Caenorhabditis elegans: one gene and its partners. The main gene of each other region encodes a partner of the protein of the gene in region 4 in a complex. Each region holds a gene or a part of one and is shown on either strand. Other genes may lie near its edges. The genes, in order: sur-2, mdt-4, dpy-22 and sop-3.

The links.
Region 1: sop-3 (region 4) and sur-2 share a complex: the UniProt entries of both Caenorhabditis elegans proteins name them as parts of the mediator complex.
Region 2: sop-3 (region 4) and mdt-4 share a complex: the UniProt entries of both Caenorhabditis elegans proteins name them as parts of the mediator complex.
Region 3: sop-3 (region 4) and dpy-22 share a complex: the UniProt entries of both Caenorhabditis elegans proteins name them as parts of the mediator complex.

What each region holds. Positions count from the first base shown.
Region 1 is NC_003279.8:14,784,752-14,789,666, reverse strand, and holds the start of sur-2 (Mediator of RNA polymerase II transcription subunit 23), read left to right. Parts: upstream 1-1,863; 5' UTR 1,864-1,870; coding exon 1,871-1,981; intron 1,982-2,046; coding exon 2,047-2,240; intron 2,241-2,324; coding exon 2,325-2,706; intron 2,707-3,704; coding exon 3,705-3,968; intron 3,969-4,023; coding exon 4,024-4,196; intron 4,197-4,915. Other genes in the region: F39B2.3 (15-oxoprostaglandin 13-reductase), read left to right, coding at 185-536, 620-702, 898-1,449. UniProt on the Caenorhabditis elegans protein: Component of the Mediator complex, a coactivator involved in regulated gene transcription of nearly all RNA polymerase II-dependent genes.
Region 2 is NC_003280.10:4,941,551-4,945,779, reverse strand, and holds mdt-4 (Mediator of RNA polymerase II transcription subunit 4), read left to right. Parts: upstream 1-1,830; 5' UTR 1,831-1,837; coding exon 1,838-1,915; intron 1,916-2,025; coding exon 2,026-2,280; intron 2,281-2,329; coding exon 2,330-2,584; intron 2,585-2,907; coding exon 2,908-3,144; intron 3,145-3,260; exon of another isoform or gene 3,261-3,427; coding exon 3,428-3,607; coding exon of another isoform or gene 3,608-3,617; 3' UTR 3,618-3,673; downstream 3,674-4,229. Other genes in the region: SURF6 homolog gldi-11, read left to right, coding at 1-44, 100-211, 256-1,115, 1,158-1,454, 1,505-1,600; ZK546.19 (uncharacterized protein), read right to left, coding at 3,462-3,617, 3,905-4,009. UniProt on the Caenorhabditis elegans protein: Component of the Mediator complex, a coactivator involved in the regulated transcription of nearly all RNA polymerase II-dependent genes.
Region 3 is NC_003284.9:9,819,224-9,823,932, forward strand, and holds the start of dpy-22 (Mediator of RNA polymerase II transcription subunit 12), read right to left. Parts: upstream 3,051-4,709; 5' UTR 2,948-3,050; coding exon 2,840-2,947; intron 2,668-2,839; coding exon 2,560-2,667; intron 2,511-2,559; coding exon 2,287-2,510; intron 2,202-2,286; coding exon 1,958-2,201; intron 1,913-1,957; coding exon 1,815-1,912; intron 1,749-1,814; coding exon 1,572-1,748; intron 1,528-1,571; coding exon 1-1,527. UniProt on the Caenorhabditis elegans protein: Component of the Mediator complex, a coactivator involved in regulated gene transcription of nearly all RNA polymerase II-dependent genes.
Region 4 is NC_003279.8:2,773,090-2,777,796, reverse strand, and holds the start of sop-3 (Mediator of RNA polymerase II transcription subunit 1.1), read left to right. Parts: upstream 1-1,695; 5' UTR 1,696-1,714; coding exon 1,715-1,852; intron 1,853-1,902; coding exon 1,903-2,036; intron 2,037-2,095; coding exon 2,096-2,183; intron 2,184-2,230; coding exon 2,231-2,373; intron 2,374-2,375; exon of another isoform or gene 2,376-2,412; coding exon of another isoform or gene 2,413-2,550; intron 2,551-2,602; coding exon of another isoform or gene 2,603-2,884; exon of another isoform or gene 2,885-2,885; intron 2,886-4,707. Other genes in the region: Y71F9B.13 (NADH dehydrogenase [ubiquinone] 1 beta subcomplex subunit 7), read left to right, coding at 348-649, 699-810, 1,248-1,364; Y71F9B.1 (uncharacterized protein), read right to left, coding at 2,413-2,550, 2,603-2,884. UniProt on the Caenorhabditis elegans protein: Component of the Mediator complex, a coactivator involved in the regulated transcription of nearly all RNA polymerase II-dependent genes.

The DNA of each region.
Region 1 (4,915 bases), about 12 Mb from region 4:
AAATATAGTAATTTCGCAATTTTCTGAACGCGTACTTAAAGGTACACGGTTTGATTCGGATTGGTCCCGCCACAAAGTGTTACCATAACATTTTTCTCGCTGCGAGACCCATCCGAATAAATCCGTGCGCCTAATCAGTGCGAGTACGCATTTCATATTACTGATAAGTGCCATTTTTAGAACAATGAGCAAATCGATTTGCAAATCAAGCATGCGCGCAGCTGTAGTCCGACGATTCGGAGCACCTGATGTCATAGAAGCCGTCGAGAGTGATATGCCCAGGCTTGAAAAAAACCAGGTTCTCGTTCGGAATTACGCTGCCGGTGTCAATCCAGTTGACACATATATTCGTGCTGGTCAGTATGGAAAACTACCAAATCTTCCATATGTACCAGGAAAAGATGGAGCCGGATTCGTCGAACTTGTGGGAGAAAGCGTTAAAAATGTGAAAGTCGGCGATCGAGTCTGGTATGGATCAGAAGCGGACAGTACAGCAGAGTATGTTGCGGTGAATCGACCATTCGAGTTGCCGGAAGGTAAAAGAATCATTGCGCAACGGGTTACTGTAGCTAGTTGCCCGCGTGGCGAGACCTAAGATATAGCTAAAATCTCATTTCAGGAGTTTCGTTTGAGGAAGGAGCTTCTCTCGGAGTGCCTTATCTTACCGCTTATCGTGCATTGTTTCATCTTGCTGGTGCAAAGGTTTGACTTTTATTTATTATTAAATGGTTCATAGAGAATATTAAAATTTTGGCAAAAACGTATCAAAATTAGGAGGCAAAATCAATACAAATCAATCTTTACAAAGCCAACTTGACCATCTGTTCCATCTCAAACAAGGGGCGGTCTAAAATACGACCATCTGCTGTTCCCTCCCAAAACTAATTCTCTTCTCAGACTGGCGACGTTATACTTGTACACGGAGCATCTGGTGGAGTGGGAAGTGCACTGATGCAGCTGGCTGCCTGGAGGAACATTGAAGCTGTTGGCACTGCTGGATCTGCTGATGGGATCCGGTTCGTGAAGAGTCTTGGTGCACGGAATGTCTATAATCATTCGGATAAGCAATATGTGTCGAAAATGAAAAATGATTATCCAGGAGGCTTCAACCACATTTTCGAAATGGCTGCTCACACAAATCTGAACACGGACCTCGGATTGCTGGCTCCACGTGGTAGAGTTGCAGTAATTGGAAATCGCGCCGAGACCACGATCAACGCAAGACAACTTATGGTTACAGAAGGAGCTGTTTACGGTGTAGCATTGGGAATGTCTTCCGAGGCTGAGCTCTTGGACTTTGGCATCAACATTGTCTCATTCTTGAAGGAAACCGAGTTTCGTCCACTTATAAACAAATTGTATCGTCTCGAGCAATTAGGACTGGCTCATGAGGAAATTATGAACAACAAGGGAGCGAAAGGAAATCTTGTAGTGCAAATCGAACATTAATTCATTATTTTAACACGCCATTTAAAGGAATGTAAATGAGAATAAACTGTACTTTTTATGAAGATATGAAAAAAATAAATTAATCTAGATTTCAGCTTCTTGAAACTGATTTTCAACAGAAATTTGGCAAATCAGTCCAAATGTCAGTTTACCTACAATAAAAGTCAAGATATTTAAATGTGTGAAATGTATTATATATGTAGTAGTTTTTTCGCAGAACTCTGGTAGAGTTCAAATCCGCAGAATATGCGTGAACGAAGAGACCACACACCAAGCGCGCTCTATTGTCACGCGTGAGAGAGAAGAGGCGCAGTAATATCTTTCTCAAACAATGCGTTTTTAATTTTTATCAACCTATTTTGTTTCAATTTATTATTTTAACATTTTTCTTTTGAAAATTATTACATTTTCAGGCAACAAAATGACGGATAAACCTGGTTCCGCAGAAGATACAATTGAAATGGATGACACGTGCTCTCCGCAATTTGTTCAGGAAGTCAATCGAATAAAGAGTCAAATTAAAAGTCTCGTTGTGAGTTTTTTAAATCAAAAATAACGCTTAAAAAATTAAACATAACTCATAAAAATATATTCTAGGAAGAAAACCACACAAGAAAATTTTTTCGACCTCTTACGTCGAATATTGGCGACGAGACGGCGATTTTACGGATTCAATTCAATAATATGATGAGTAAAATGGAAGAAAAAGAAAAACAATCTTTAGTGAAAGAGCTAATAAAAATGGTTCATCACGTGGCGGAAAAGAACTCTCCTGATCGAGTTTTTGTTGGGTGAGAATTTAAAAATTCGAAAAAAAAACAATTTTAACAGTTCTTTTGCATATAATCAGAGGTTTTAACAGTGTTTTATTCCAGAACAAACTACGAACGTGTCGTAGATCAGCTTCTCCGATATGCTCATCAAAAAGGTGCGATTTCAACGAATCTGTGCGCAGAAGGACTCATAATGACTTCGGACTTCCGATTATGCAGTAGAATATGCCAAGAAAAATGGAAATTCATCAATGATTGCATTCCAAAAATCGATTACAAAGGAATTCGGAATATCCTCCGATATATTCTGGAATCACAGCTCCGTCGCCTACCGTATTCACTATCTCCGGAGCAAGTAAACGAAATCCGCATTGTTGAGAATGTAATACTGCATATTGTGGATAGAGACTCCAATTTGATGCCTCCACTCATCACATTATCAGAAATTATGAGAGGAATGCCGAAACAGGCGCTTATGCTGCCGGTGAGGGGAAAATTTTAAAAAAAATTGCTGAAAATATAAAGACAATGTAAAAATTTAGATTTGTTAATTTTTTTTTTCGGCAAAAAAAACACAAAAAAAAGATCTCTCTACATTCAAAAAGTCGAATTTTTTTTTGGCGGAAACCAAAAAAAAGTTCGACCATTCTCGCAAAGTTTCTAATTTCTGTGCATTTAGTTTTTGAGTTACAGAAAGTAAACCAAATTGAATACTACAGAAGTTTTAAAAAACTTAATTTAAGCCATAAAAAAATGACGGGAAATTTCTTCTGATTTCTAAATTTTCAGTTTCTCAACATTTTATTTGAAGTTTTTACCAAGGGTGGGCGGCAATTACCGTTCGGCAAATCGGGCAATTTGCTGGTTTACCGATTTGCCGTTTACCGGATGTTAAATTTTCCGCAAATGTTTTGAGGGATTTTTTCATAAGACTGAAACACTTAAAACTGTGACTTTTTGGGCTGTTTTTCCCTTTTCCTCAGATATTTTTATAGAATTTGCTTACTTTTCAAAAAAGATGTAGAAAAAAACATTCAAACACTCACAGGATGCGTACAATTCTGAAATTCCCAAAAAATTAGTGCGAAACCACAATTTGCCAAAAATTTTCGACAATTGGTATTTTTCCGGTAAATTCGGAAATTTGCCGGTTTCACGATTTGCCGGAAATTTCAATTCCGGCACTTTGCCGATTTGCCGAAAAAATCGTTTGCCACACACCCCTGATTTGTATGCTGATTGACTGAAAAATCACCTTCATCGACGAAAAATTATCTGAATGTACAAAACCACAATTTGCCGAAAAATTTCGGCAATTTGCTGATTTTCCGGCAATCTGCTGATTTGCCGGAAATTTCAATTCCGGCAATTGTGGATTTTTTTTGCAAAAAGCGGCTCGAGATGAGTCACGGATCGACCCATCTCGATTCATTTACCAAGCCTATATTTCTTAAGATTAAATTAAAATGCCAAATATTACAGAGACTAACGGAGAAACTGGCAAGCTTATCCGTCCATTTCCGACCAATTGCCGACCTATCCCACGTGTGTGGCCGTGGATTCGTTTACCCCATTCCACTACATCCATCATTCTATCCATTAACATCGTGTTGGGAAGAACATGGATTAAATGCCAGTAATACAATTGTTCAACCTCATCATACACTTCCATATCGTCCTGAACATACTTCTACATACTTGTACACCCTCTACATGATTCTTCGTCAGCCATTGGGAAAGGACTCGGTATGAAATTGAGAATATATATATTTTAAATAACTTATCCCGAATTAAGTTTCAGCTTCATCCTCCGAGCAAAACGAAGACAAAGACAAATTGGGAAATGTTGATATCTGTAATGATATGTGAATCAATGGCCGAAGCAGAATCTCTACCGGAAACTGAGCCAATTCCACGATATCAATGGGACAATATTGTTAATATTGTTATTTATGGGATTACACAACATTTATTGTTAGTGTATTTCAAATTTTTCGATTTTGCGAAACCCGAAAAACAAAAATATTCCTTTTTTCAATTATTTTTCGCAAATTCAGAAAAAAAATCCAATTTTTTACTTTTAAAGTAAAATTCTAAAAAATCCGAACATTTCGATTTCCGACATTCAGGAAAGCTAAATTTTTGGGTTTTTCAAAGAGAAAATCGAAAAAAAAAAGATTCTATTTGAAAAACACAAGTTTTGAATTTCAAAATTGTCTTGAAAAGCCAGAAATTTGAAAGTAGAGCTAATAATTTAATTTAAAAACTAAGCGTTTCAATTTTTGGTTTATTTCTGAAGGAAAAAAAAATCCAAAATCAAAATTCTTAGGATAAAAGCTATAATTTAAACAAAATCTTTTGAAAATTCTTCAAAAATCTGAATGTTCTTGACTTTTAGACCTTCAAAAAAAAATCGAAAAACCAAAATATTTCTTTTTTTCAATTATTCTTAGAAAATTCCAGAAAAATCCAATTTTTCACTTCTTAAATAAAATTTCGAAAAAAAATACCGAAACTTAAGATTTTCTTGAAATGTTTTTAAAAAAAAATTTACCAAAAAACAAAACTTTAGATTTCCGACATTTAGAAAAATTGAAAACCAAAATCTTTAATTTTTCTTGTAACTTTTTCTTTTAAAAAATCCAAAAAGAGAAGTTTTGGATAATAGATATTCTCGAAAATCTGGAAAAATT
Region 2 (4,229 bases), on a different chromosome or scaffold from region 4:
CATTAGAAGCTGTAGAAGATGCAGTGGACATTCTTGAAAAAGAGGTAGCGTACACACATCCTCGAAAAGTGGCCGAGAAACAAAACATTTTAATTTCAGATGCTCTCCTTCTGCAACCTGATTCCAGTTAACTCTTGGGGATTTGATGATGATGTCAAAGAATCATTGAAGATGCGAAAACACAGTTTGGTTAATCGACAACTCAGCAAAAGTAATTTATTGATAAATTTCTTTAAAATTCTGTATGTTTTTCAGAGGAAAGAAAGTCAATGTCTGCACAACAGAAACAACATCTGGCGAAAGGCTTAGGATTGGTTCCAAACACTGTTCAAGAAGTCCTCGAGTGGATGTCTAAAAGCAAGCAGCATTCGAAAGTGCAACCACAAAAGGTTGTTGCACCGGTGAAGAGACCAGCGGATCAGAACAAGAATAAAGAAAAAGTAGTGAAGAAAGACCAGAAAAAGCAAGATAAGAAAGCTGATTCTGATTCAGAAGAGGATGATTCATCTGACGACGAGGAGAAAGAAGAAACAGACGAGCCAGTTGCTAAGAAGCAAAAGAAAGAAGAATCTTCAGATGATGATGAAGACAGTGAAGATGGAGAAGAGCCTGAAGGAAATAATGGAGCTGTAGAGGCTGAGGACAGCGATTCAACGGACGAAGAAGAAGAAACACCATCTAAACCCAACAAAACCGTAGCACAATCTACTCTGAAATCGAATGGAAAAATTGACAAGGAGATTCAAAAGTTGGAAGACGATGAAGACAATGAATCCCCCGAAATCAGACGTCAAATCGCTTTGCTGAGACTGCAGAAAAAGCTGAAGGAAATGAAAGTTGAGCGGAAAGGAAAAGGACCGGCGAAGGTAACATCAGCGATGGCTGAAAAAATGGCAGAGGAGAAGCGTTTGAAAAGACGGGAGAGCAAGCTGAAGCTGAAACAAAGAAGAGCAGAGGAGAAGAAAGGAAAAGAGGCAGCAGCTCAAGTGAAGAAAGAGACTGTTGAAAGCACAGAAAATGGCAATGAGCCTGTCGAGAAGCAGAAATCTGGAATTTCATTCAATAATCTCAAGTTTGAAATCAAAGAAGACAAGCAGAGGGGCAAGAAACAAAGAGTGAGTAAAAATATTTTTATCTGAAATATCTGAAATTTTCAGACCGCCAAAAAAGATCGAGCTCTTAAACTTACCGGACGTGACTATAAATCACTTATCGCTAAAGTCGAAGAGACAAAAGCAACAATTGCCAAAGTTCGCGAAGCTGATCCACATAAGGCTACCATCATGGAAGATGAGCTAAAGTGGGAGAAAACACTGAAAAGAGCAGCTGGTGGAAAAGTGAAAGATAATTTGGGAATGCTCAAGAAGGCTTTGGTGAAGAAGAATAAGATGAAGGATAGAAGAAAGCAGAAATGGGAGAACCGAGAGAATAAGACGGAGGGAGAGAAGCAAACGGTATGTTGATTGGTAGAAAATCCTTTAAGATTTGAATTTTTATTTTTCAGAAGCAAGACAAGAGAAAGAAGAATCTCCAGAAGCGCATCGATGACGTCAAGAAGAGAAAGATGAACAAGTTGAGAAACAAGGGAAGAATCCTCTAAACAACACACATTTATCCGCTTTTAATTTCTCGTTGTTGAACATTTTTTTGTTAATTTTTACTGTTAACTTTTTTCTTTAAATCTGTGGCCTGTTGTTAAGTTTTTAAGTTTTCAAATTATACTAAATTCTTTGAAAAATATTCTCTTTTTTTTTGAAACTTGTGCCGTTGTTTCGGTAATTAATTATTTTAAAAGTTGTTAATGTATGTTCGATGGTTGTATTGTTCTAGATCTCAAATGGCAGAAACAGATGAACGAAGTCTACGGGATTTGCTCCTGGAATCTGCAGATGATTTGGAGCATATTGTTAAAATGGTACGTTCTAAAAAAATTTGAAACAATATTATAGTTTATTTTAAAATTACTTTTTACTGTGAGTTCATCTTATAGAATTCATGAACCCACATAATCAATTATTGTTTCAGATCGTCGATACACTCATCAATCGGGACAAAAGTGTTATGCTGAAAAATGGAGAAACCGTTACGAACATTATCAAGCTGTTTGACTCAAAACAGGATAGCATAAAGACTTTGCTGAAGAGGGTTCCTGAGTTTCAAGAACGAGAGCAGCTCATTCGGACGCTTGAAGCCCACGTGGAGAAACGAGACGAAGTTATTCAACAACTTGAAACGAATTTGAAGTCATGTGAGGTGGCTCTGACGCGATCTTGTTTTCATGTAAATTTTGTTGGAAACAAAGACTTTTTTCGAAATACGTTTATTTCAGGCAAACCAGAAGCTCAAGCAAATGAAAGAAGCTGAATTGAGACCAGTCAATAGTGAGATGCTCATCAAACTGGCTCATCAGATCAGTAAGCACAACTCCGTATCTGCACCACTCACTTGGCAAATGGGAGATCCATCGCGTCCGTTTCCTCAGGAACACGAATTTCGAGCTGGTCACCTATTGAATTCAAAAGTTCAGAGCACTGGACCTCAGCTTTTACCCGGAAAGAACGTCGCTCAGAGGCCGCTTATTACGGTATGTTTATGGAAACTTGTTGAAATGTGAATCCTCACCTGAAATATTTGATAAATGCATTTATAAATGCATTTATATAAATGCAATACTTCTAATGTTTTCTACGTTAATCTGAAATTCTTTTCACACTGTAACCGAACAGCTGTGAATCACGTGATTTATGTCTTATCTTCTTACATTATCTAACAGTCATTCCTTCTAATGATCAAATTATGAGTGATAAGAAATATTCAGTTCATATTGTGATCTCTTTCCTTCTACGTTATTCGTAGTAAATTTTATAAATAAAATTAAGATTCAACGTTCAATCAATATTATTTCAGTCTCCATCCGCATCCTCATCCAACGGTGGAACAGCTCCAATTCGAACTGTCGGCACTCCTCTTATTAATTCTGCTCCGACTGGAGATTTCAGTCCACGAACTGGTTTTGGCACCGACGAGCCTCCACCGATTCAACAGCAAGTACTCCGTGGAGCCACTCCAAATGAAAAGCAATGGCAGAATCCGGGAGTTTCAGGAGCCACCTCAACGCAATCCCCTTACAACCGTGTCTCGCAGGTCAGTGCAAACCGAGTGTACATAGACAGTGTTACTGGCGGCCCGCAAATGATGCACGGGTGGCGCAGTGGTAACGCGTTTGCCCGTTGTTCAGCTGTCCACCAGTTCGATTCTCAATGCACACAGAAAGTCGAGATTGCCGGCTTCAAAGGCTTTATCGTTGATTACGTGTGCTATAACAACGCCATAGGTATCATTCTTCGTCTTCTTAGGCGCGGAACATCTAAATATGGCTACATTTATCTGCTATTTTATAATTTTCCAATAAATAACATATTTTCAGAGTCCTTCTTCCTCGCCAAACGTGAAGCTGAAAATTACTGGACTTCCGAATCGTCCAGGAGGTATCGATCAAGTTCAAGATGTGCGGGATGTCGAACAAATGTCGTCGGACAGCTCCAACTCGTCAGATAGTTCAGATGATGAAGGCGCATCGAAAAAGACTGGCAGTAGCAATAAATAATGAAAGATCTCTGTAAATTCTGGTATTTTACTTATTGTACGTTGATAAATAAACACAATTTTCTATATATCTTGTGTTTAACAGTGACACTAACTGATTGCATGTGGTTCAGTGTCCACGCCATGTTTACCGCTATGCCAGCTGCCTTTCTTTCTTTCTTTATGTCCTCTAATCTATTTACTCCTTGAACTTTTTTTTCAACAATTCTAGTAACTAATTATATTTAGAAATATGCCAAATTTTGGAATATACCTAAGTTAGCTTTTGATTCAAATCTTATTTTAAAAAAACACTCACCCCATCTAGAGACGCAGAAACGAAAGGGACCACCCATGACAAGAGAGATGCGGAGTACGTGAAAAGATGCACAAAACATGTTGCAGTGAAAGTGTTGTTAGCCATCACTTTTTTTTGTTTTTGTGGGCTCAAATCAGTTTGAAGAAAAGTTGAAGTTGTAAAATTTCGCCTCCTTTCGTTTTTTATGTCATTTTATATTACTTGCCCTTTGGTAATAGATAAGAAATTATCTCTCCCATCAGACACATTCCCACACATCTTCTTTTGACTTGCCTCCACACAACTAATCTAGATATAGATGGGCGGTCCTGATTCTTGAATACAA
Region 3 (4,709 bases), on a different chromosome or scaffold from region 4:
ATGCTTGAGAGCAAATGAAGCGCTTCACTGAACTGACTGCATTGATCAAGTGTTCTCCATCCTGCGTGGCTAGTTTTCTCTTTCCATTTTTTGTCTGACACCATTTTCTCTTTGATATGGGAAGCCAAAGTTGCAATTTTCATTTCCTTCTCTTTGCGGATTTTGATTTCAGCGAGTTCCTCGTCGGTATAAATTTTCTCGGGTTCGTTATCCGCCACATCTGTATCCTTGTTTTTGTCCCTTTCTTCTTCGCCATCTTTTTTCTTCTCACTTTCCGGAGTTTGTTCCTGATCAGGATCCACCACAGCTATAACAACACAGTCATCCTCGTCTGCTTTTTTGTTGGACTCAATGATCATAATATCATCTTCGTGTTCTTTCTCAGACTTATCAACTTCAGGCGCTTTGTCGACTTCCAGTGGTTCCTCGGTGGTAATTTCAGTGGATTCTTTTGGTTTTTCAGTGGCAGCTGGTGGATCTGATTCCATGGGAACTGTGTCATCTTTAGAAGTTTCATCGTTACTTGTTGAACTTGCATTTGGCTCCTTATCAATTTTGTCATTAGAATCGACAATGGAGGGAGCTTCGGATTTCTCTGCTGATGTAGACGTCTTTGCCGTTTTTGAACTGGTATCATCTTCATTTTCTTTGCCGGTAGGTTCTTCTTCAACTAATTTTTGTTTTTCAGAAGCATCGGTTTTATCATTTGCATCAGCCATTTCAGCATCGTCAGGATTTATCGGAACATCCAGATCATTCGTATGCTCATCAACAGATTTTTCTTTTTCCTTGTCTTTCTCCTTATCTTTGTTCTTCTCCTTAGTTTTAGATTCATCTTCTTTCTTTTCACATTCATTTTCTTTATCGACAGAAAGAGCTGGCGAAGCGCTGGGAGATGATTCAAAATCAATTTGTGGCTGCGTGTTGACAGTTTCCGTTGGTGTTGGATTGGAGAAATCCAGTACTTCATCTTTTGGTGGATCAATTCCAACTCCGCCCTGCTGAATCCAGAAAGGATACGTCATTGAACCATAGCGACCACTAATACGTTCAGGAGTGACAGATCTCTTGCCTATCTTCATGTACTTGAACTCCTCATCGTCAGTGAGTTTTTTTGGAATATCTGTGTGAAGTGGCTTGAAAGGTAAAGGCTCATATGATGGATCATATTGATGTGAGAAAGAGTCATAATCCATAGAATTGTCTGATTGTTGACCTCCATACTCATCATAGTCCATCGGTTCTTGTTTAATCTGTACTTTATCGTGATCAAGAGAAGCTTCATTCGAAGGATTCTGTGGCATTTTTTTTGGCCGATTTTTTGACAATCCTCTTCTTCTCCTCCTTTCAGACTTTTTGAGTGAGCCTGCCTTTCGTTTTTCATGCTGCTTGATAAGTTCTTCAGCTTGTGCTTCTGGTGTTTTGTCAGTCTCATCAAAGTAGGGTACATCAGGAATCTCGTCCAACATATCAATGAAGTCATCGTAATCTTCAAACTCGTAAATTTCGCCATCTTCATTTTCAAATCTGAATTTTTGATTTTTTGTAACTCTCATAAATTTAAGTCTTACTCTTTCTTAATGAAAGTTTTATTAGCAGAATCGTAGTACGCATCAATTTTCCTTTTATCCTGTGCCATTTCGAATAGAAAACCAAGTGCTTGGCAAAGCAGAGTGGAGGACCGTCTAGCTAACACCAGACTGGAGCTGAGATCTTCGACAAAATACACATAATATTTCATGAATGTGCTGAAATGTTATTAATACAATATCAGTTCATGGGTTATCTAATTTGGAAAAGTTTGCAGTGCTTACCTTAAAACTGAAGGGTTCTTAAAGTTTTTCTGCAAAAACAACTGATTGAAAACTTCCGTGAGATCGTTGAGAAACTCCTGTTTATCAAGGACACCATCCTATAACAAAACTAATAAAATTTCTGTTAAAAATAAAACTCTTACATCAAACATATACTTCATGAATCCAGTCAAATAATTCCATGTTTTAGTAGCCTCTCTTCGTTTTATGGGATTTCGAAAAGATTTGTAAAGCTGGGTTACGAGCCAAATTGTTGTTTTGTTGCATGCTTGGCTCAGTTCTAGAGTTGCAACGTCAAGTAATGTTTTCTTTTGTGTCTTGCTTGAAGAGTTGAAACCAAGGATACAAAGAAGTTTCACACACCATATTGCCCGATCGTAGCTTATGCTGAAATAGGCAACTTTAGAACATTCTTCAGTTAGCACAGTATAATTCACATTTGTTTTAATTGTGAATTTTAAAAACAACTCACTTATAATCGCTAAACTCCAAAAAGAGCAGTTCTTTCCTTCTAAATCCAGGGATTCTTTGTGAAAGTTGTTGAAGAGGAGTTCCTCTAGCTAATGCCGAAAAGAATTTCACTCGATCTGACAAAATTCGTTTCCAGTTATGTGGTGCAAAACACGGAAGTTGTTCCTTTGGAATTTTACGTTCTCTGTCATAATTCATGTGGAACTCTCCTTTTTTGTGAATAACCTGAAATTAACATATTTACTCACTTATATAATTGTTGAAAATGACTCACAGAAGCAATCATAGACTGAGATCGTTTTTGAGCTTTCTCCAGACGAATTAGCTTATTTTCCGATGCGTTGAAAACCAATGATTGAAGCTCGTATTGCGTTAATGGCATCTAAAATCAAAACTCGGGTTGTATAATTCATATCCTCACGTGTGCTTTCTCTGTTTCTTTTTACGCTCATCAAACATCTAGCCACACACCAAGCTAATCATCCCCTAGTACCTCCATAGTTACATTGCACTCTGTTTGAGCATCTTTTTCCTCGCCCTGGCACGACACTCACCTGATATCCTTTCTTTAATCGTTCCGTTGTCAACATATCCTCTTCTTGATTCTTGTTTTGTTTATACACATCAGCAGTTCCCATTCGAAGGTTGGTTTTCCGGAGCATACGTTCGCCGGGCTGCTCGTCAAACCACGAGGCGACGCCATCCTCGGGGTAGACGTCGTCCTCGTCGTCTACCACTGACGTCGATGGGTACGAAATGATTGCTAAAATTTTTTTATTTGCAATAACTTCCCAAATTTTGAAGATAATATGTTAAGAAAAAGAAAAAATACAATCAGGCGACGTTTTTAAGTGATAACAACATAAAAACTGACAGAAAAATGAAAGGAGGAACGAATAAGAATTTAAAGGAAAGTGGGTTCTATTTATTTAGAAAATATTGTGAAAAAAATAAGTATTAAAAAGTTTTTTTTTTGGAATATCATCATTCATGTCTAGTTCACTTTTCCAACTCTAAAATTGTGTTCAAAATCCAATATTCAAAATTTTGTGGGTTCCCAATTAGTTAAAAAAACACAATGTGAGCTTTTAAAAAAAGTGAAAAATTAAACTCAACATGTGGACAGAGATGTATTCATAAAGCACCTTTCATCGATTGTAAAGAAACACATCAACCCCAGTACGGATGATGACATTCAAAGATGGCTGTAAAAAAGACGCAGAGAAGCGAGGAAGAAACGCACAAACGGCGAGTAGCAGGCAGTTGGAAAGAAATAGAGAATTGGCCCCTGAGAACACAGAACACAGCAAGAAATACACTGATGGAAGAGAGAGACGCAGAGATGGAGAGTGCTGCACAGCAAGGCACACAGACCCATCGATCGGAACTGTCTCGCTATTTTCTCAAAATGGTCCACTCATAAGTCGTTTGTTTAATTGCAGGGAAAATTGTATTGTTGTAAGAAATGGTAAATACGTTAAAACTTCAACTTTCAGAACGATAAGAAAGTAGACTTTTTTGGGAGTTGTGAATGAGCTAATATTCCAAGATGGTGAACCCAAAAAAAAAAAAGGAAATCAAGTAGTATGCATATCACCTACAGATCAGCATGAACTGATAATATTTGTTATTTGAATATGTGCAATTTTAATAACTTTAATGCGCGTTGTTTCAGAATATGGTTTCGGATGTTCAGGCAGTTTACTGATATTATACAAAAAACCAGCGAAGTTTTTTTGAAACTAAGCTAAAAACGACCTTACGCGCAAAAAATTCCAACATCTGGGTATTGTCTGCAGTTAGAATCACATTCTCGCAAATTTAAATTTATGAGAAAGGACAAATGATGAGAGAAAATGTCATATGTCAGATAAAATTATATGAAAACGGAAGAAAAAAACTCTAAGTTTCTTCATTTCAGAATGTCATAGGGCAAATCCCCCGATTGATGTTTCAATGTAATGCATATTTGAATATATATTTTAATTTTTTTTACAACTCCACAATATCGTTTTGAACTTTGAACAAAATATTGAAAATAAAAATTAGAATTGATTGAAATTGTTATAATTCTTCAAATCAGGATCGCGGAAAATTTTCAAAACGAAATAAATCACTAAAAAGTGTTTATTTAAATTCAGTAAATTCTAGTAATTAGGTCTTGTATTCCGCGTTTCTTTTATAATTTCAAAAATACAATTCAGCGATGTTATCACGCATCACAATTGTTTGAAAATTGTGTGTTTGTATATAAATAATTTATAATCAAAAACACGAAACAAAATAAAAATGATCAGGAATTGCTTGAAGACAATTGAGAAGTAGAAGAAAAATATGAGGAAATGAAAAAATGGAACACTGGTTCTTTAAAAATTTAAGACGATAAAGAAATAAAGTTGAAAAAGTAGTCAACAATACAATGAA
Region 4 (4,707 bases):
TTTTTTTTTCGATAAAAATATATTATGAAAACTCTTAAACTTTGAAAAATCGTGAGAAAATCTATGGGAAATCGGTGAAACTACAGTAATCTTTAAAGGCGCACAGTTCATTTCCATTTAACCAATAATTCACGTGGTGTCAGGCTGTCCCATGACGGTTTGATCTACAAAAAATGCTGGAATTTTTCTCTCAGCACACTCTTAACTATGCGAAATTAGTTTAAAAGTCTGCGTCTCTTCTCCCGCATTTGGGGCACTTTGACACCACGTGATAATTGTCGTGTCAAGACTAAGTTATAATTCGCTGCGAGACTCGAAAAATGATGTGCAACCTTCCCAACTTTCAGTTCGTCGCGGACTGCAATTTCAGCGGCGGAGGCCCCGGGCCGGGAAAACTGGCGGACACCACCAACCGCCAGGTCGCCGACACATTCTACCAGAGGACCTACGAAAACTCGCCGAGAGTCCTGCCAAAGTATATCTACTATAATGAGAATACCGCCAGAGACTACGGGCAGTTCGGTAACTGGTACTACCCGAATTACTATCCACCAACTTATCTCGGATTCTTCGACGGACGGCCGGCAAGTATGGCACAGCTTGAGAATGATTATAAATTTGCAAAAGGTGGACATTATCCATATAACAGGTAAATTTAAATTTTTTTAAAATTAATAATAAAACTTGTTTTTTTTCAGAGCCGATAATATTGTGAACATTGGGCTTCAACAGACATATCTTCCAACTTGCCTTCACGACTTGTTCTACTGTGTTCGCGCCAGCAATGGGCAGAGACCCCAGGCGTATTTGGTAGGTGGCCTAGGACTCAAAAAAAACTAGGCCATCGATTTTTCGAATTTTTAAAGAAAAAAACCATGTATTTTTAGTTGAAAATCTCCTTTTTTTAATCTTTTCCACGGATTTCTGGCTTCCCTCATAAATTGAAATGGAAGAGTTTGCCGAACTAGGTCATTTAGGCTCGGCCATATCTGGCATAGATTTACGGAGCGTTGCGTGTCGCGTCGCGGCTCGATTTTAGTTGTAAAACTAAATGTATTTGCCCGTGTGGAGTACTTTCCCACGTGTTTTCCGGCAGGCGATTGTCAATGGAGCGCGAAAAATTCAATGAGGAAGGCCAGAACCCCGTGCGCACGTTTAATTTTGCAACGCTCGCGCCAAGACCTTTCCTCTCAATTGAGCTCAAACAACGTTTTTTTTTAAAAATCACATTTCCTTCTCTTTTTCAGAACTACAAAGAATACCGCCGTGACCGTGACCAGGCTGCTGAACAAATGGCCCAACGGGATCAAGATATCAAGACTCTCCGCCGCCACCGCACCAGACACCACGAGGATGATGAATAAATTGATTTTGTTTGTAGATTATTAATGAAACATGATGTATTTTTGTTAATAAAATATAACTTGAAAATCGATTTTTTCTGCAGAAAACCGGTTTTAAACCCTGAGACGAATTATCTAAATTCAAACACCCGCCAATTGATGCCAGTGGCTGTGGCCTAAAATCCGCCTGCTAAACAACACGCGCCGCGTTATAACGGAGTGTCGTTCGCAGCAAAACAAAATATTTTTTGCACCGATTTTCTATTTTAAACTGCATTTTTAATGGGTTTCTCGTTAAAATTTCTCAATTTTTATATTATTAAACAGCAAATAATTAAATATTTATCGATTTTCAGGTAGCGAAACCTACCATGATAATTGAAGAGAGGAAAAATCATGAGTTAAACCTGGAGTCGATCGATCGAGATTTGCGAATGGAAAATGTCCGCCAAAGCGCAGAAAAGCTGGGATGGGAGCATTTTGCGAGATCTGTCAGGAGGAATTTGCTGGTAACTGCAATCTCCACCGTTTTTCATTGAAAAAAAAATCAAATTTTCAGGAGAAAAGGCAAACACTCGATGCACGAACCCGTCTCGACGTTCTTGGCTCTCTGGTTTTTATGAAAGAGCATTTACCAATTGATAATGATGCTACTATTGCTCGAAAAGTTCAACAATTATCTGAAGGCCTAGGGTGAGTGCTTTTTTAAATTTTTTTTAAATTAAAAATTTTATAAATAATTTTTTTTTCAGAGAACATTGCGTGTTTTCAACTCAAAATAGTGGATTTTCAATCAGAAATCCTGATGTAACAATCGACATTGGTGTTGCAGAGGATCAAGTGCGTTGAATACGGGATTTTACCAAAACAATAAAGCTATCTTTCAGATTAGTACCTGCAAAATCGGTTATTTCGGTCAACCGCTCACTGATGCTCCAGGAGCTCTAGCTCTAATGAAAAATGGAGAATTCTCGAAGCTTCGCGATTCGATAACCGCGATTTTGTCCTCACTTCCGAAGGAAATTACATTGTAAAGCTAATAATATTTATTTTTCAGAGGAAAAGAAAACTAAAAATATGAAATAAAAGCGTAAAAACTAATGAGAGCGACAGCGAGAATAATCGAAGATCTGACATAATGCACCGGCTGGGAGATCTTATCCTGTGTGAGACGGATGAAGCTGATCAGCAGGGCTCCAAGGGCTACCTGGAACGATTTTTATTGAATCATTTAAGAATAAAAATCAATAATATATTACCGGCGGAAGGTTCTTGGCTTCTTCTTCCAAATCGATCGTCGGTATAGATTCCACAGAGGAGAACGTCCACAGCAGAAAACTCGTGTAGAGACCGCCGGCGACGATGGAGAGGGATGAGAGAGTGCGCCACGTGGCGTTCCGTGGAATTTGAATGATGGAGAGGATCGCCGGGACCAAGTAGACCGGCGTATAGGCCCACCAGGTCGGATTTCTCGAGATTTCGAGAAGGCCGTAAGCCAGAAGGCCCAAACCGAGAATTGATTCAGTGGCGCGGAGGAACATTCTAGAAAAAAACCATTTTTTGTGAAATTTTGATTTAAAGGTGGTGTAGTTGAGTTTTTTATTTCTTTATTAGACTCAAAATTGTCTGAAAACACCGAATTTGATAATGAAACTTCTTGAAAACTTTTCCAAAAAAAATTATGACGCTCAAAAAATGACCTAAAATTAGTGAAAATTTGAAGTTGACCAACTTATCATTGTCGCAGCGGCTGGAAACAATTTTTTTTTGAAATTGTCGTCTATTTTTGAGTAAACAAGTAGATTATCTTGCGTTTTAAGCTTTATTATGGTATTTAAAGTCGATGGACGAAGAGAATTGATTAAAAAAATTTGAAAAATCTCTTCGTCCATCGACTTTTAAATACCTTAATAAAACTGAAAACGCAAGATAATCTACTTGTTTACTCAAAAATAGACGACAGTTTCAAAAAAAAATTTGTTTCCAGCTGCTGCGACAAAGATATTTAAGTTGGTCAAATTTCAAATTTTCACTAATTTTAGGCCATTTTCGAGAGGCCATAACTTTTTTTTGAGAAGTTTTCAAGAAATTTCATTATGAAATTCGGTGTTTTCAGACAATTTTGAGTCTAATAAAGAAATTTTAAAAAATTCGACTACTCTACCTTTAAGTTATAGAAAATAGTTAAAAATATCTATTTTTCTATTCGATGTTCCTTTATATACAGCTATAAAAATTTTATATGAAACTTATTTAAAAATATAATATACAGGAAAATTTCCCTACAAAAACGAGAAAATAAAAAAATCAATGAAATTCAAACTATTTTAAAGCCAAAATTTCGATAAAAACGAGATTTTCTGTATTTTGAAGGTGGTTTTCAGAAAAAGAAAACGAATTTATGGATGAAAGTATGACCACTTCTGAATGTTTTTTTTTTTGTTGCAATAACTAGTTGTGAGAGACGCAGACGGACGAAGATATGTATGTTGTAGTTTTTGATAAGAGAGATGAAGGTCAAACAAGGGGAATATGATGATAATTACGATAAAACTGTTTTATTAGACTCAAAATGCGCGGGAACTTTGAAATTTCAGGGAAAAATTGCTGATTTTTGCTAGAATCTAGAATTTCACTGCAACTTTTTCCTCACGAGAGACGAGGAAAATTGGTTTCTAGGCCATGGCCGAGGGGCCGACAAGTTTCAGCGGCAATTTATCTTGCTTTGTTTTCCGCTTGTTTTCTTTTGTTTTTCACAGCCTTTTCCCGTTTTTTCTTATTAAAACTGATAAATAAATATTTTTTGCAGATGCCAAAACGATTTCCAAGTAAAAAAAAGTGTATTCAGTGGGCAAGCAGCGGTGAAAGTGGTCAATGGTCAAATATGATGGATTACGGGAATACAAAACCTAGACTTTTTCTGAAACATGATACATATGCTGCTTAAATGCTGAGACTACCTGATTTTCATAACGAGACCGCTGAAAAAGTTTTGAGGTTTCCAAAATTCAACTTTTTTGGTGAAAAAGTCGAGATTTTCGCACAAAAAGTTGAATTTTGAAAACCTCAAAACTTTTTCAGCGGTCTCGTTATGAAAATCAGGTAGTCTCAGCATTTAAGCAGCATATGTATCATGTTTCAGAAAAAGTTTAGGTTTTGTATTCCCGTAATCCATCATATTACAATGCCCACTTTCACAGCTGCTTGCCCACTGAATACATAATTTTTTCAGTTGGAAATTGTTTTAGCATCTGCAAAAAGTATTTATTTATCAGTTTTAATAAGAAAAAACGGGAAAAAGCTGTGAAAAACAAAAGAAAACAAGCGAAAAACAAAGCAAGATAAATGGCCGCTGAAACTTGTC